Bombyx mori: one gene and its partner. The protein of the gene in region 2 interacts with the protein of the main gene of each other region in a biochemical or structural test. Links are inferred from orthologs where the notes say so. Each region holds a gene or a part of one and is shown on either strand. Other genes may lie near its edges.

Region 1 (3,663 bases), on a different chromosome or scaffold from region 2:
GATGCGGCGGGCGAGCAAAACAAATGCATGAATACGGACGGCGCGAGCCACGGAGTCGAGCGGTAGTCGCGGCGAATAATACAGTGATTAAATGAGTTTAGTTGTTTTCGCCGCGAAAAATGAACGCCGAAATTTTTATATTTTATATTTTTTATTATTATTTTTTTAATATTTTTAAACTCGTCGTGGCCGAACGGATAAGACGTCCGGTGTTGAGCGATGCACCGGTAGTCGAATATCAGGCGGGTACCAATTTTTGTAATGAAATACGTACTCAACAAATTTTAATGTTTACGATTGATTTCCACGGTGAAGGAATAACATCGTGTAATAAAAATGAAACCCTCAAAATTATAATTTGCGTAATTACTGGGGGTAGGACTTCTTGTGAGTCCGCGCGGGTGGGTACCACCACCCTGCCTGTTTCTGCCGTGAAGTAGTAATGCGTTTCGGTTTGAAGGGTGGGGCAGTCATTGTAACTATACTTGAGACCTTAGAACTTATATCTCAAGGTGGGTGGCGCATTTACGTTGTGGATGTCTATGGGCTTCAGTAACCACTTAACACAAGGTGGACTGTGAGCTCATCCACCCATCTAAGCAATAAAAAAAATATAGCTGAGATACTAGCTAGACCAGCTATTTGGAAGTCTAGCCACCCAAAGTATTTCTCGTACTTCTTGTGGAATTCTCCATCTATAGGTATACTCTGATTCTTATTCAAATCATGTACTTCACAATCTTTTCCAAATAATAGGTCCTGAACCAAAAAACTATTAATTTGTAAGCAATATCGAGATAATTTCGATATAGACATTTCGCTGTCGGACTTCCTTACGGCCTGGCCACGGGGATCGGCGGTGCGAACAGCGAAGCGGTGGGCGAGGCGACCATTCGCGCAGCACCGTTTGCAGGCCACGGGTTCTCCCGTTCGCCGCCGCGACTAGTAAGGAAGTCCGACAGCGAAATGTCTATATCGAAATTATCTCGATATTGCTTACAAATTAATAGTTTTTTGGTTCAGGACCTATTATTTGGAAAAGATTGTGAAGTACATGATTTGAATAAGAATCGGAGTATACCTATAGATGGAGAATTCCACAAGAAGTACGAGAAATACTTTGGGTGGCTAGACTTCCAAATAGCTGGTCTAGCTAGTATTTCAGCTATTTTATTTTTTTATTACTTAGATGGGTGGACGAGCTCACAGCCCACCTTGTGTTAAGTGGTTACTGGAGCCCATAGACATCCACAACGTAAATGCGCCACCCACCTTGAGATATAAGTTCTAAGGTCTCAAGTATAGTTATAATGGCTGCCTCACCCTTCAAACCGAAACGCATTACTACTTCACGGCAGAAATAGGCAGGGTGGTAGTACCCACCCGTGTAGACTCACAAGAGGTCCTACCACCAGTAATTACGCAAATTATTATTTTGAAGATTTCATTTTTATCACACGATGTTATTCCTTCACCGTGGAAATCAATCGTGAACGTTGAGTGTTGTTGAGTACGTATTTCATTACAAAAATTGGTACCCGCCTGATATTCGAACACCGGTGCATCGCTCAACACGATTGCACCGGACGTCCGTTAGGCCACGACGACTTTAAAAATATAAAATAAAAAATAAATAAAAAATATAAAAATTTTGGCGTTAATTTTTCGCGGCGAAAACAACTAAACTCATTTAATCACTGCACTATTCGCCGCGACTACCGCTCGACTCCGTGGCTCGCGCCGTCCGTATTCATGCATTTGTTTTGCTCGCCCGCCGCATCGCGCGATTCGCTCGGTACATTTCGCCGGTCGCTTCGCCGGTCGCCGGTGCGCGTGGCTTGTTAGGTACATTTCTATGCGCTTGTTTTAGTCGCTAGACGCTTCGCCGTTCGCACCGCGCGAATATTCGCATCGGCGAATGTCCCGTGGCCAGGCTGTTACTAGTCGCGGCGGCGAACGTGAGTACCCGTGGCCTGCAAACGGTGCTGCGCGAATGGTCGCCTCGTCCACCGCTTCGCTGTTCGCACCGCCGATTCCCGTGGCCAGGCCGTAACAATTATTGCAATATTTAAATGCCCAGAGCAAGCAACTCATTCCCACTTTGTGCAATCTTATAGATAATCATTGACTTTATAGTAAGCTTTATTGCACAGATGTTCTTTCATAGTTTTCATAAACCTATGTATATGTAGGTTCTGAACATCTTATGGGATCGTATTGACCTGGATTTAGTGTAGGCCGCAAAATAGACTGATAGAAAATGTTGATCTATTGGTAAACACCGATTCCTAGAATGCGTGAAACATTTTAAATGACATTTTCGTTGATGATGATGTTGATGAAAAAATATAATACATTTTAAAAGCTTGTAAATAACTTAGTTTTTGAAATAATTTGAGTAGTTGATATATAAAGAAGAAAACAGTCTTAAAACAATGGAAAGGTATTGCCCTAGATTTAGTGTAGGCCGCAAAATATATTGACAGAAAATGTTGATCTATTTGTAAACACCGATACCTAGAATGCGTGAAACAATTTAAACGCCATTTTCATTGATGCTGATGTTGATGAAAAAATACAACATTTTAAAAGCTTTAATAAATTTTTTCGTGATACTTACCCGCACAACCAGTTTCCGATCTTAGGCATATAATCTTTAAAGACTAAAGCCGCCGTGACGTACGTGTCGGCCAGTAATTGTCTGTTCCCGGCGACCTCAGCCAAATTAATCGCTTGGAGCGCTAGCAACAATCGTTCGCTGCGCCCTCTGTGATCCGACAGGATCTCCAGCTGGGCTAGTTGATGCGAAACAGAAGAAACCTCCGTTGCCCAGTGCAACGTAGCTCGTCTTGTTGGACTAAAATATATTGCAATTATCAGTAATCGAAAAATTATGTTATTATAGTGCGCCCGGAACAAGTTGGCCGCGCCTTAGGTGGCGACAGGGGTGAGGGGGCGGGTTGCATATTACTCGCAACGCACAAGAGATTAGACAGTGATTATCAATCTCGAGATATCGTGAACAATAATTGTTCAATTATTGAAAAGAATAAATAAATCGCAATGGAACTTTTAGAAAATTATATTGTACCTATCTAACTTTTACTTTCAGCAATCACTCTCCTTACACTTCGTTCTGATATCCCTGTTGGTTCTACTACTAATTTATGTATATTTGCATCAGTTTTAGCGCCCCTGCCTCTCCGTCTCACCGCTCACATACCTAAGGCGCGGCTAACTAGTTCCGCGCGTACAATAATAATTATATTATGTAGCGGCCCGCTTCGGCTCCGCTCGGGTATTTAACAAAAATTTCAACGACATTTGACGTTGTTTTATTTTTAAAAATTATAGAACACTTATTGCGGAATAACTTTAATAGCTATAGATATGCTGTCGCGACACTTTTTGTAAATAATAATAATGTGTTCTACAAAGGCGTAGTACATTATTTTATTCTATCATCAATAGTTTTCGCAGGGCACGCCATGTAAAAAATATTTTAGGTAATTTTTTTACACCTTCGGTTACATTATTGGAGTTTTAGTAAGGATCCCTAATTTTTTCATAAAAGTTTATAGCCTCCATCACTCGGGAATAGTGTAGCTTTCAAACAGTGAAAGAATTTTTCAAATCGGTTCAGTAGTTTCGGAGCCTATTCAA
Region 2 (4,390 bases):
CCTTGAAATAAGTTATAATATCAAGTTCATTCTATATCACCAGAGTGGATGTAATTTCCTCCAGATTGACACCCAAAAGCCTCTAATCATCAGAAGCAGGAACATTAGAGGGGCTTGTATCTGAGATGGTAGTAGAACACATGTGTCCCAAATCACCAAGTCACATACAGCTGATATTGATCTTAAACCCCTTTTCCAATTTCATTATATGGAAGTGTCTTATTTTTTCCACTGTTATTCTATAAATTCACAACTCGAGTGATTATGTATGTTAATATGTAATGTAACATAATTAAAATATCTATAAAGGCTATTTTCACTAAGGACACAACAATGGAGAAATGAGCGCTTTAGTTACTGTAATTAATTTCCATTTGTCTCTTGAGCATATAGGAGAACTTTAATTGTTGCCAATCTCTAATAATGTAGGGGACACAGTATGGGAAGATATTATAATGCCCAGATGCAAATTTCTTAATCACACTTCTAAAATAATTGAAAATTGTTGGTAAATGAAAGGACCCAAAATTGACTTAAATTATGACCAGTAATTTTAATGTTTGAATTTGATAACAGTAAGAATGAAAATAGGTAATTTATTTATGTATTTATATAATCTATTTATGTGTTTGGTAAATTTATCTATTTATGTATTTATAATAGTTACTTAATACTGTTTGTAAAATATTGTTACATTTTTTATTGATTTACAGTTTTTATCAGTAAAAAGCTGCAAGTTTTGAGACAAGACAAGTACTGTTTAAATAAACGTGCAGATAACTGTAAACAATATATATAAAAATAAGTTAGATAATTTTTGTTACCAATTAAGGAAACAACAAATATATTTAAATTTTTTTACTGCTGAATTAAAATAATTGACCTTTTTAAATTTATGTTATTTCATGAAGGTTAACAAGGATGATCACTAATTTAGAATTGTTTACATTTTTCAGTACTTTTATGAAAACTGTATACAACACTTACATAACACAAACATATACATCAATTATAAGCACATAAAATATTTCAAGAACATCAGAGGTTTCAAGAATATACAAAATTTGCAAAAACGAAAATGTGTTCATAATGCAAATTATGCTTAAATATTAAATAAGACTAAAAATTCTAAACTGAGTAATTTAAAAAAGCTATTTTAATATTCTCATTCATTGTTTTTTTATTGTAAGAAGTTTGTAAAAGATTTTCAAACAGCATTTTAAATATTATTTCAATATACTGAATGTACTATTAATATGTTTTATTTAATATTGCTGCCAATTCACAGTTTGGTGTTCTGACACTGCAAATTTTATTTATCAATAGTTTTATACTTTAAGATGTCTTAGTTGATTAAAAAACAAGGTTTCTAGTTTAATCCCTTTACAAATTTTATCATTTGCTACAGTGCTATGTACAATTTACATTCTGTGATAAATCTAGCCCATCGGTCAAAGTTTAATTCAGAATAAAACAAATATTTGAGATATTAATTTATCTTAAAAACTGAAACAAATGCATAAGGTTAACTTGGCAACAGTAAAATAGAGTTGACAATTCCATAGTTTTAATGAAATTTGAAATATTCTGTTATTTTCATAACATAATTGCTTTTTTATTCATTTGATACTTAGTCCTTACGTTCCATGTTAGACTAAATTTATTACACATTGTAAACACGCTAGATGCTTTAAACCTAAACATAAATGAAGCAATCAACCTTCACATCAAGCCAGCTACATACAATAAGCACGTGGACACAAATATTAATAAACGCAGAACAGTACATATTCAGCGCGTAATGAATGAGATGAAATTAATTTTTATTCATAAAACCTCTGATCTCGAAGTACAACTTACCATCAGCTCATGAGTCCATGTTTGCAACTAAGAAACAAGTTCGATTATTTGTAGGTTTTATTCATGAAAAACAAACAATAGTAAACAACATTTTGTTCATAATTAATGTAGATGATCATGTGAGTAATTTTTTTGTCAGTACCTATTATTTTCACAGATGCAGGGCACAGTAGAACGTTTACCTTTATATTTACCAATATATTATTAACCAAGAAAAATATATTTACCAATATTTCATTCACTATGTTGGCGACTTGCGAATCGGCCATTTCCGTGATTATATTTTCCTCGAACATGCGCTTGGATTGACGGTCACCTTTATACAAAAAACTAGCTAAGCACTGGAGCATCCAAACTACGCTTTCAACAAAACACCGAAAGGTTACAAAGTTATCGGTACATGTCTTTCAGAATAATAATTATGTATAAGATCTTTGACGGAAGAAGTTAACTCAAGAAAGAAATTTTAATTACAAATGCAGCTGTTAGGAATTATGTTCTTCTTAAATTTACATGCCAACGTTAACAAGTAAAAACTGGGATACTTAAACCATCACTACGCGAAATTTAATAAATGACTAAATGCATTGAATAATCTATGCTAAATGTGGACACTGGACAATAAAGGACTTTTTGGCGGGAACGCGAGGAGTGAAGTTGTGTGATTTGTTTTATTTTGTCTATTTAGTGTTTCTTCAGGTTTAAATGTGTAATAACGGTGGTTTATTAACTGTTTAATATCTGTGAAAGTGCACAAATGTGGGAAAATGAAACAAAGCTGCTGGACGTAACTTCTCGGGTTCCTCCAAAAAGTCCACTGAAAAAATCTCAGTAAATGACCACCATTTTACTGCGATTATATTTCATCCCATATCATCTCATTTCATTTAATTTCATCCCAGTTGATTAATGTTTCAAATTAATCATCTTCATTTCATTTCACTCCATATTATCATTTTTCATAAAATTAAGAATATAAGACATGACTTAAAGGTCTTAGTTACCAGGTCATAAAATCTCTTAAAAAAAAAAAAAATGGACAATAAAGTTTGAAATGGACTTTTTGGCGGGAACGCGAGGAGTGAAGTTGTGTCATTTGTTTTATTTTGTCTATTTAGTGTTTCTTCGGGTTTAAATATGTAATAATGGTGGTTTATTAACTGTTTAATATCTATGAAAGTGCACAAATGTGGGAAAATGAAACAAAGCCGCTGGACGTTACTTCTTGGGATCATCTAAAAAGTCCACTGAAAAAATCTCAGTAAATTAGCACCATTTTACTGAGATTATATTTCATCCCATATCATCTCATCTCACTTCATTTGATTTCATCCAAGTTGATTCATGTCTCAAACAAATAATCTTCATTTCATTTCATTATTTTTCATAAAAATAAGAATTCAAAAAAAAAATTAAAATAAGACATGACTTAAAAGTCTTAGTCACCGGGTCATAAAATCCCTTAAAAAAAAGTTTGAACTTTACTCTTTGTATAAAATAATTCCCGGTTTACACTATTCCAGTCCAGTGATCGAATCCAGCACTGGATTGCTTACTGGAAAAATGTAAACTGGCACTGGATGCACTGAATCCAGTTAGCATTCCAGTCCAGTAACTGGATTGGCGGTCTACTTTTGAATTCAGTGCGACCAATCCAGTGCACCTGGATCCAGTGCCATTCCAGTGCTGACACAGTAAGCACGTGTTGGTTGTTTTTGCGGATTACTGGGGCGAATAAATTACTTAAAAATGGTGAAGAAATTATCTGACGATCAAATTTTAAAGCTTCTTATGTTATACGGAGAAAATCCTTGTTTATAGCACATATCATCAGAAGATTATTTAATAAATATATTACACATGTGTCGGTGCAACGTCACTATTTAGTTGACTTAAATAGTTTTCTTTTTCTTTCTTTCTGGCTTTTGTTACTTAGATTTAAATACAACTTTGCCAACGTCGGGTAGTGGAGGTATCAACATAATTTGTTAAGATTTTATGTGGAAGAATAAGCAGACTCGGTTTTTTAATATCACAAATTATATTTTATTCACATGACACAATCTTATTAAGTAGAGAATGTATCCATGGTAACAAGTCAACATTACTAGTGCGGCGACACGCAGCTAGTGCTATATCTCAACATAATTATGCTAAGACCTATTTAGTTTAATTTTTTTTGCATTAAACAGTTAGTAGGAACTACAATTTTATACTATTAGCGTTTATGAAAGATCCAAGCAAGTAGACTACCGTTTTAGTGGGGAAAGTTAATAGGAAGTTCATGTTGATGGGGAGGGGGATTATGTTTGTTGATAAAGTATATAGAGGATCACACTTATTGTTAAGGATACAGTTGAAGGATATATGATCCACAGTACCTTCCTCGGATTCACAGTTGCATATTGCTGTATTTCTTAGTTTGAATTTGAACAGTTGAACAGGTGAGTAAACGTGACCCAGTGGCATTCTGATAATAATGGTACTTTTGTCAAGATTTCTGTACTTAAAAACCCTATTAAAAATAGTT

Evidence for each region.
Region 1: the proteins of mediator of RNA polymerase II transcription subunit 23 (region 2) and sterol regulatory element-binding protein 1 form a complex in vitro, tested with the Homo sapiens proteins (2 studies listed by BioGRID). The link is inferred for Bombyx mori from reciprocal best matches to the Homo sapiens genes MED23 and SREBF1.

Annotation. Positions count from the first base shown.
Region 1 is NC_085119.1:8,261,744-8,265,406, forward strand, and holds part of sterol regulatory element-binding protein 1, read right to left. Parts: intron 2,858-3,663; coding exon 2,621-2,857; intron 1-2,620.
Region 2 is NC_085107.1:8,842,311-8,846,700, forward strand, and holds the start of mediator of RNA polymerase II transcription subunit 23, read right to left. Parts: upstream 2,892-4,390; 5' UTR 2,211-2,891; coding exon 2,088-2,210; intron 1-2,087. UniProt on the Homo sapiens protein: Required for transcriptional activation subsequent to the assembly of the pre-initiation complex. Component of the Mediator complex, a coactivator involved in the regulated transcription of nearly all RNA polymerase II-dependent genes.